2 linked regions of the Arabidopsis thaliana genome follow. The protein of the gene in region 2 interacts with the protein of the main gene of each other region in a pairwise test. Each region holds a gene or a part of one and is shown on either strand. Other genes may lie near its edges. The genes, in order: AT5G45360 and SNRK2.1.

Region 1 (4,773 bases), about 16 Mb from region 2:
ACCACATGGTATCCTCCATTTATGACCTGAACCAATGTCATTGCAGAGTGAGCCATTCGTGTTTCTCTCTCCGTCGCATCGCCGCCGTTTAGGATCGCCGGAGCTGCCATTTTTCTTCTCTACCTCCGAATCGAGGAAGAAGAGAAGGAACACCTGTTGACTAAAGAAATTGAGATCCTTTGATTTGCTCTGTAAATTGTAATTCTAACTTCTCTGTTTTTTCGTTCCAAAAAAAAAAAAAACTTCTCTGGTCATTGTAGTCGTTGGTCTTCTTCAATTTGTTAACTATGATTTTTTGTTAAGTTGAGGCAAAAAAAAATTTGCCAGATTATTTTCTTAAATCTTATACACATTGAAGCCTAACAGATTAACACATTTGTTAAATATGCTCATATATCCTACTTAAAAAATATGAAAATTTTCCACAAAAAATGGTGTAATATAAAAATTCGGTTTACTCGGGTTAAACGGTTCGGTTTGTTCGGTTTTCCGGGTTTTTCGGTTTTCAAAAATTCTGCCGAATTGAACCGAACAAAAATTCGGTTCGGTTCGGTTCGGTACTCGGTTTTTTCGGTTCGGTTACTAGGATTTATAATTCGCCGAAATTAAACCGAATTTTTTTTAATCGGTTAACCTAATCAGTTTAGATCACAATATTAGGCATAGTGGGCTGTTTTTAAAGCCCATATCGGCTTTTGACATTTAAAAACCCAAAACTTTTTTTTTGAGGGACAAGTAAAGTCAAAAAGCCCATGACGGTTTTTAACTTTTCAAAACCCAAATTCTTTTTTTCCAGGGACAAGAAAAGCCCATCACACCCATCTAGGGTTTTGTTTTGTTTTATTTTTTGGAAATGACGGCCGTCAAAGAAAAACAAGGGTGAGATGAAGAAGAAGAACATTGAAAACAGAGAAAATAGATTTGTATTGTGCGGTGGTGAGAAAAGATGTAGAGAACCATGAAATCATTGCCAGAGAAGATCGATGTCGCGGTGGCTTAATAGAATATTTCTGCGAACCTAAAAGGTGGAGAAGAAGAACGAAGACAAGGAGAAGAAGGAGGAATAAGGAAGAATTAGAAGGTTAAAAGATAAAAATGGGTTAGAGATGAGGAGAAATAAAGGTGTTCGTGAAGAGGAGAGTTTAGAAAACAAAGAAGATGAAGTGATAGATCTAGGATTTTTCTGTTTTAAAAGGTATCTCCCCAATCCGAACAAAACCGATCGGTTTTGATGAACCGAACCGAAAAACCCGAAAACCGAAATCAATTTAAAATTCTACCGAACGATTTACAACAGAAAATCGGTTTGAAACCGAAAACCGAAATCGTCGGTTTGTTCGGTTCGGTTTAAACGGGTTATGCCGAACTTCCAGGCCTAATTTTTACAGTGTAATACTGAAGTTGGTAAAATATGCCTTTATTTATGTCGATTAGTGGATCTAGTAATATAACATTTCCTTAAATGAAAAAACTCCTTAAAAAGTAGTTGCTGATCCAATAACAAATGTTCTGTTTTAAGAAAATTTAATTATAGTAGTAGTTCGAACGTCGTTAACTCGTAATAATAATTCAGAAAAATGTTGTTATTTAATCACGTTTAGAAAGCTAATTTGTATTAATGACGCTAACGACAAGGAGGAGGGTTAGTGTTATGGGCTTATTTATTAATATATGGCCCATTTAGGTTATTAGCCCATTTATCAAAATTATTCGGCCCGAGGTCGTCTCCAATCTCACGCCACCGATTCCAAACGCCAACCCTCTCGAGTCTTGTCTCTCTCCAATCCTTTCCTTGGCCGCATAAACGCAACCATCGTCGTCGGAGCTTTGATCTTCACCGACTGAAAAGTATGTCTGTTTCCGATGAGGAAGATGAGTGTTTCGCTCGATTCCTCGAATCAGAAGTCTCATCGGTATAAAAATTTCTCCGTTTATTCAAATTTTCGATTTCATTTAGGGTTTAGTAATTTCTTCTCCATCAATCTTTGAATTTTGTAGCTGAATCTGAAATTCTGTCGAGATTTTCCCGTTCCCCTAGTTTTTTTTTTCATTTTTGATAACTTCAGTTCCTTGATCTGTAAATTTGATCTTATATGCATACATTTGAAATTTTTGAAAAATCACATAATTTTTGTTCATGTTCTTCGATTGATGTCCATTGTGATTTTGCTCTTGTTCAGCGTTGTCCTGTGAAAGGTTAGATTATTTATTGATGCTTTGGTTTTTGTAGGTAGAGGATAAAGAAGAAACGAAAGAACCTGAGGCAAAACGGCAACGTATTGAGAAAGGCGAAACAAAGGCTCTAGAGAAGGATGAAGATCAAAAGGAAAATGGTAACAAAGATAAAACTGATGCAAAGAGAATAGAGAGTGGAGTTTTCACCAATGTTCCTACTGAGCTGTTTCGTCATATTCTCAAGTTCTTATCTTCGGAGGTATATACTATATAGTTCAAACTCGAACTTTATTGATGTTTGAGGATTGCTTTTAAACTAAATTGTTTGAATGTCATTACAGGATCTTGTATCATGCTCCTTGGTTTGTAAATTTCTCAATTTTGCTGCGGCTGATGAATCCTTATGGCGTCGCCTGTAAGCCTCTTCTTGTACCCCTTATTGTCGTTGATAATCTTGTTTTCAAAATCAATACTTTGTATTCAAAAACGATGTGATGATCTTATTGGTTGTTTTTTGTTTATATGCAGGTACTGTATCCGGTGGGGTCTAACTCTTCCAAGTAGAAAGTTACGTGAATCTGCTTGGAAGAAGCTTTATATTGATGTGAGTTTCTCCTTGGTTTTTCGTATAAACTTGTTAGATGTTTCCAAGTAGTATTACATTGCTGAAGAATATACAGTGTTAGTTTGCGTTGCTAGTAGAAGTCAGATCATATATATTTTTAAGTGATTCCTTTCTCTTGTCGAATTTTAGCGTGATGAACAGGACATGATTGAACTTGTCAGAACCTGTCCGTCGGATTTCAAGGAGTATTACGTACATATGCAAGCAGCAAAGAGAAGCCAAGCACCTCTTCCGTCCCAGGTAACTATTTATAATTATCTGTTTATGTTTTAGGACAAATCATCACGTGAAGAATTTTCTCATGTTCTTGTTTGCAATTTTTAGATGGTGGATGACCGGATAATTCTTGACAATACTGTACTTGAACAAGTTTCTCTATGGAAGAAAAGCAAAGGACTTACTGATAAGGCTGTCACTGGCCATATTTGTTTGGGAACCAAATGTTCATACCATCAGATTGACGACGTGTTCATATGCAAAGAGACGGGAAATGTTCATGGTATGTAATGAAATGCTGTAAAATGTAACTTTGTTACTGTGTTTTACTCTAAACTTACATAGTTTTTATGGTCTTTATAACAGTATGCGATGATAACTGCAAGGAAGTAATACTGAGTCCAGAGGGTGACCTCATGGTGTGTACTATCTCAGGAGTTTGTTCTGATACTTTACTTGTACAAACTGAGCCAGACGCAGATGGGTGTTATGAGGAAGAAGCTGAACTAGAAGCTGAAGTATTCACAGATAAAAGCCGATTAGGTACACATCTATCTATCTCTTTCTCATATCTCTCACACACTTCCTTTTCCAAATATTATTTTTATTTTCCAACATAAGTGAACTATTTGCGTCTTCTTTTCATCGCAGCCCGAGCTTTTGAACTTGGCTACAACTGCGATGATGAGCAGGAACTGGAACGTACCCTGAGGTTCTGCTGAGCAAAAGTCTCGACCTTTTGTCCAATTTCATAAGGCCTACTTTCTGTAAGGTCTTCTCTCTCTCTCTCTCTCTGACCTGATTCTGCCTGGGTTCTGTGGAGTTGAAATGAATCAAATGTAGCTCTTGTTTTAATCAGTCAGCTTTGTAACGTATACATATATATCATTGTATGTGATTAACATTGTCCTTAAAAAGTGTTACACCTAGTAATTACGTTCCAACTTTATCAGTAAACCTATTGGTAACTAGTAATTTGCTCCCGATATTGGTTTTCTCATTAATTTTTATAGCCATTCTTTGTTCATTTAAACCATATTACAAATTTGTCCTGGTTAGAACTGATTATGATGACAAATCGATGATTAGTTCAAAATGAAGTTTATAGCAATATATTCTAATAACTATACATCAATTATCACCACTGATGTGTTTGAATGAAAAATGAATTGATAATCTTAATAAATGTTTGATTTTATAGATAAGTATAAAGTATGAATGGATTTAGAAAATTTTAGTATTTAGTGAGATAAGCATAAGCAAAACTAGAAAAATGAAATTATTATTAAATAAATTCATTAATACACATTGGCAATGTGACATTGCCTAAAATCAAATATGTACTAATTCAATTAATGTTAATAAGAATTTTTTGGATTCGATTCTCTTGCGAAAGTGCAAATTAAAAGACATTCTTATCTCCTACGTAAACAGAATCACGCGTCCATTGCGCGTTCTCGCAACGCTAAAATATTTACGTTGGAAAATATTCTCATAATTCTCTCCTTTGCCCCCACAGTTTAATATATTTCATAAACACCCCCACGAGAAATTAAAAACCGTTCCAAATTTGAAAAAATACAACAAACAATTCATGAAAATATTCAATCTATAAGCAAAACATTGGTAGTGTTACATGTGTCGTCCTTCGTGCTGAAAATTTGGATAGCATTGTTAATTATGACAACGTAAGTGTAGCCTGTGATTCATAGTAAAATATAAGGACTAAAAATAAAAATATATCTTTTTTGGAAATC
Region 2 (5,557 bases):
GTTATGTACCTGTGATATTATATAATCAGCTTGTTGCTTTGCATAATAATGCTCAGTAGGATGGATTTTACTGATAATGGGAAGCAATTCAACGTCTGATAAGTACCTGTAGATAAGTGGCAATTATGTTAAGGGATGTATGGTATTAATGGAAATGCTAATCATGGTGTGTACTCGTATATTACGAACCCGTCATCATTTTTGTCAAGCTGAGAAAACAACTGCTTTGCTGGGCCTTCAGGCAAGTCATGGTAAGGATGCGTAGAATTGTGATTGTCTTCTTCGTAGTTCCTTACAGTGTCAAAGAGGCCGTGGAAAAACTCTTCGAAACTGATCTTCCCATCTTTATCTGAATCCCTTTCTCTGGGAGAGGGAAGGAGGGGAATCCGTTGATAAACATTAAGCTAAAAGAAAGGTTCCTCGGAAATAATCATATGACAACCGTACATTACCTTACTTCCTCCTTGCATAACCATAACAGTAACTTTGGGTTCTTGGTGTCAGCAGGATGCAGAAAGCTAAGGGAATTAACCAGCAAAAACATTGTGAGAAATAGAAAGAAAAAATAACTGATAGTACTAAAAACCTGAAATAGCTCGGTTGATTTCTATCTACACTAGAAGAAAACGCTTACTCGTTAAACTCTGTTAAATTCAGAAGACCATCACCATTTGCATCTGATGCATTAAAATGCTCCTCCTTCCACCAGCCCATATCATAGCCAAACGAATTATTATCTGTTAAATTTATAACCAAGTCAGCTAGCAGTCCTAAGAGACAAAAGTGAGATCATTTGCTTAAAATCGCAATCAAACTGTGGTCCAGAATAAGGAAAGGATTATTATATAGGTCATAGGCAGAAGAGCTAGAAGTGAAACACAGATTAAAGCAAATCTACTTACAAGACTGTCATCAAATATTTCTACATGGTCATATTAAGTAGCAAACATTTTAGTCAATGAAACTCAAAGACGAACAGGAAACAGCAGCTCACCCGACTTACGGACCCAAGACGGTGGTTCATATTCAGAGAAAGAAATAAAACCATCTTTGTTTCTATCATGAACATCCAGGTCTCGTTGAGTTCTGTGCACAACTTCCTTGGCAGAAGACTGCATAGTCCACTCAGTCAATTCACTCTCCGTCATAAACCCATCAGCAGGAGAAACATCAATCTTCGGAAACAACAATATCAGCCTGCAAAGTACCATAGCAATCAAACTCATTCCTTACAAAAATGACATCTTTAGTAAATGCTAAACTAAAATCTTCAAAGATCCAAACTTTGAAGGAAATTGAAGTACACATTGTTGCAATTAGCGCTCAAAATCAAAGATTGGGAACTGAAGATATATATAAGTATAACCAAACCTATCAGTGACATTGAACTTCTCCTCATCATTTAAGTAATCCTCAGCATCCATGAATTCTTCCCACTCAGGCTGCGACTCGTGACCAGGTGCATGTTCATGTCCACCACCGGTTGTTTCTTTCTGAGAATGAGAGACAAGCTCCGGGTGAGAATGCTCAATGTACTGTCGCTCCCACTCCTTATCCTCGCGGCGGCGCTCCATGTCGGCGACAAGAGGATCAAACGGAACTGGATCGTGACGAGTGGGTTTGAAATTGAAAGAAGACCGGAGTTTTAAGCGGTGATGTTGATTGTGACCACCATGGTGGTGATCGTGGTCACCCTTCTTCTTCGGTGAATAAGAGACGAGGAAGAGCACCAGGATTCCTACCGTAATGTATAGGATCACCGAAGCTTTACTCATTGGGTATTTTTGTGTAACAGAAGTAGAAAATCTCAGCTTGAAACCCTAATTTTGTTGGCTGAAAGTTGAGGTTTTTACACTTGGGAAGTGAAGAAGATTAGATCTGTTGGAAAGATGGAGTCTTGCGAATATATATCTATAGAAGATTTTGACTCTAGATCTGTTACGACCAAATTAGTCAAATGGTTTGTAGTATTTAAGAGAGAGCCCACAACACACATCAATATTGTACATTTATTTCTCTAAACGCAATTTAAATGATTAAACGAATTTCTGCTAATTTTGTCATTTCGAGAAGAATTGAAACAACCGTTGGATTCACTTTCAATCAAAGCTTAATAATTGAAAAATCTAGCAGATTACACTCCACGTGGTCCAGTCCACCATCTTCTTCGTTTACTCCTTCCTACATCGATATTATACACACATGCGTGTGTATTGGATCTCACGATTTCTTATCAATGGAACTCGCTTCTCTTTCTCAGATCCCCATCCAAATCGTTTTATAGGTAGATTAGATAGATAAACTACGGATATACTCGAACTCTATCCATTTACGGTATTGATTTGGAAATATGGACAAGTATGACGTTGTCAAGGATCTGGGAGCTGGAAATTTCGGTGTGGCTCGCCTTCTCAGGCACAAGGACACCAAAGAGCTTGTTGCCATGAAATACATCGAGAGAGGTCGCAAGGTTTGTTTTTTTCCTTTTTGTTCTTACTATTTTTGGGTTCTTTCTGTTTTGAATTGGGGTTTAAAGTTTTTACTTTTAGCTCAGTGTGTATGTTCAAATTCATTATTTGAAGTCTCCTTGCTATACATTTGTAGGAAAATTTGAGAAATTTGGGGTTTTGATAACAACAGATCAAAATGATGATGATAATTTAGTTTTGGATTGTTTGGTATATATTGATCATGGATTGCAGATAGATGAGAACGTGGCGAGAGAGATTATTAATCACAGATCACTTAAACATCCTAATATCATCCGGTTCAAGGAGGCAAGTCTCTTTTTTGTGTGGCTCTTTATAGTTTATCTAAGAGCTGTCTTGGGATCTGATTTTGATTCGGTTCTAGGTGATCCTGACACCTACTCATCTTGCTATTGTGATGGAGTATGCTTCTGGAGGAGAGCTCTTTGATCGAATCTGTACTGCCGGTAGATTTAGTGAAGCTGAGGTTGCTTTCTCTTTGTAAAGTCATACACTTTGATCCATATATTTTCTTCAACATTTTCTGTGATCTTATTTATGTGTGTGTATAAGTTTTTGCTTTTGATCTTATTCATTTCAGGCTAGGTACTTCTTTCAACAGCTGATTTGTGGTGTTGATTACTGCCATTCCTTGGTATGTATATAGTAGTTCTTAGAATATACATTAAGCTGAAAAGGAAAGTTATGTGCTGCCTAATGAGGCATTCGTGGAGTACTATTGATGTTTTTGTTCCCAGAGTCTTTGTTTGAGATTTGGAATTTAATGCCTCTGTCCTTGTGTAACCTTCCCCTCTCTTTTGCTTCTGTGCAGCAAATATGTCATAGAGACCTGAAGCTTGAGAACACACTGCTCGATGGGAGCCCTGCTCCGCTTTTGAAAATCTGTGATTTTGGTTACTCTAAGGTCTGCACTTATCCATTTCCCTTTTCTTTTCTTTGCTCAGTTTTTCTCAATCTTCAATCCAAAACAGATTAGCATGTTCTTTAATCAAAAGTATTATCTATTCACTCCTCTCTTGATTCTTATATCTTTGTCATGTTTTCAATTTGATTTCTATGGTGTAGTCATCTATACTACATTCTAGGCCTAAATCAACTGTTGGAACTCCAGCTTACATAGCACCTGAAGTTCTTTCACGGAGAGAATATGATGGCAAGGTACAGTATTTTTGTCTTGTTATACATACATATCAGTTTGTCATTAACGCTTGATTGGTTGTCAAAGTAAGCAAATAATGTCATCAAGGGAAAATATGAGGATAGAAAGTTATAGACTGCTCAAAGATCCAGGCTATAGAGTCCTTCTAGTATATCTTTTTTAGTGGCATGGTCTGTGTGAAACTTTTCAGGTTATTGTACTTCTAATAAGATTTAAGTGGGGTCTTAATTAAAAAATTTGACGGGGTGCTAATCGATATTTTTTCCATGATTGTCATAAGAGCACATACACTGGTTTTGGCTCTCATATATATGACTGCGTTTTTGTAGCACGCGGATGTGTGGTCATGTGGAGTAACCCTTTATGTGATGCTGGTGGGAGCTTACCCGTTTGAGGACCCTAATGATCCAAAAAACTTCAGGAAAACAATCCAGGTAACTCCACCATTCAACAATTCTGATTTACTTCTCATCTTATTTATCAAGTGTCTCAATGATATCACAATTCAAATGGTATTCTGCAGCGCATAATGGCTGTACAATACAAGATCCCGGACTATGTTCACATATCTCAGGAATGCAAACATCTTCTCTCTCGCATATTCGTCACTAACTCTGCTAAGGTAACTTAACAATTCCGGTTTCAAATTTCTAGCTATATCTTGTGAGGAAGATATCTTGCAGTTCTGATTGTTGCCGGTAACACTCTTGCCAGAGAATCACACTTAAGGAGATCAAGAATCATCCGTGGTACTTGAAGAATTTGCCAAAGGAGCTGCTAGAGTCGGCTCAAGCGGCGTATTACAAGAGAGACACAAGCTTCTCTCTTCAAAGCGTAGAGGACATAATGAAGATAGTTGGAGAAGCAAGGAATCCAGCTCCATCAACTAGTGCTGTCAAAAGCTCGGGCTCAGGAGCTGATGAAGAAGAGGAAGAGGACGTTGAAGCTGAAGTGGAAGAGGAAGAAGATGATGAAGACGAATACGAGAAGCATGTCAAAGAGGCACAGTCTTGTCAAGAGTCTGACAAAGCTTAAAAAGAAAAATGCTCTCTGTTTCTCTTACTTTATTTCTTCTTCAAGAACACTCCTTGGTGAGTTGGTGACTTGCTTCTGGTAAAAAGAAAAACACATTTGTCAAAGCCAAAGGCTGTAAACTACGTGCTGGTTGTTTCACTTTTAGATTGATGTCGTTGTACTGAGTAATGAGCATGAAACAGAAGGTTTATATTATTATATGATACTATACTATAGGTTTTCGTCTTTGTGATGATGATTTCAGTTCACCTATAAAATCCGAATAAACCGAATCTGAACAAGATTTATAAACCGAAAATCTGAAAAACCGAAAAGAACGAACCGGATACTAACCGAAACCGGGATTTGAACACTTAAGGTTAAGGGTCGAGAAACCCTACGAAAGTGTATCTCTCTCAATCTCGACAGGTTTCAAAACAGAGACAGTCATGGGAGGAGGAGAGAAGAGGAAATCTAGTTTCAAAAACCTAGCTAATGCAAAGAAGAGGAGAACAGGACCTCACTTACCTAGCTCAATACTCAAGACCATTGCGAATGAGAAACGTCCTTTGAACTCTGACGAAGGAGACGATGAGATTGATTCTGCTTACGGTGATTTTTACGAGTACGAAGAAGGTGTGCCTGAAGAGGAATCTAGGAAAAACAACCGCTACGAACGCGTCGTTAACTACGAATTCGAGCTTGCAGAGGATTGCGAGGTTTTTCCAAGTCTTACTATTGCAAATTCTTTTTCTTTTAAGTTGCTGTTAATCGACAAGTAAAGTTGTTTGGGTAACACGTAATAATCTAGGTTAAAACTTGTTTTAAATTGTCTCTTTTTCAACCAAAGGATGAAAACGTGGAGTCAGAAGATGATGATGATGATGATGATGAT

Evidence for each region.
Region 1: the proteins of SNRK2.1 (region 2) and AT5G45360 interact in a two-hybrid assay, tested with the Arabidopsis thaliana proteins (one study listed by BioGRID).

What each region holds. Positions count from the first base shown.
Region 1 is NC_003076.8:18,383,748-18,388,520, reverse strand, and holds AT5G45360 (F-box family protein), read left to right. Parts: upstream 1-1,649; 5' UTR 1,650-1,850; coding exon 1,851-1,913; intron 1,914-2,230; coding exon 2,231-2,434; intron 2,435-2,516; coding exon 2,517-2,590; intron 2,591-2,703; coding exon 2,704-2,779; intron 2,780-2,929; coding exon 2,930-3,040; intron 3,041-3,124; coding exon 3,125-3,299; intron 3,300-3,382; coding exon 3,383-3,559; intron 3,560-3,667; coding exon 3,668-3,738; 3' UTR 3,739-4,032; downstream 4,033-4,773. Other genes in the region: UMAMIT1 (nodulin MtN21 /EamA-like transporter family protein), read right to left, coding at 1-110.
Region 2 is NC_003076.8:2,781,187-2,786,743, forward strand, and holds SNRK2.1 (SNF1-related protein kinase 2.1), read left to right. Parts: upstream 1-1,981; 5' UTR 1,982-2,350; coding exon 2,351-2,470; exon of another isoform or gene 2,471-2,702; coding exon 2,703-2,777; intron 2,778-2,853; coding exon 2,854-2,955; intron 2,956-3,069; coding exon 3,070-3,123; intron 3,124-3,300; coding exon 3,301-3,393; intron 3,394-3,554; coding exon 3,555-3,647; intron 3,648-3,977; coding exon 3,978-4,082; intron 4,083-4,171; coding exon 4,172-4,270; intron 4,271-4,362; coding exon 4,363-4,683; 3' UTR 4,684-4,927; downstream 4,928-5,557. Other genes in the region: AT5G08580 (Calcium-binding EF hand family protein), read right to left, coding at 10-106, 190-363, 453-518, 635-737, 995-1,197, 1,372-1,775; AT5G08600 (U3 ribonucleoprotein (Utp) family protein), read left to right, coding at 5,112-5,381, 5,474-5,557.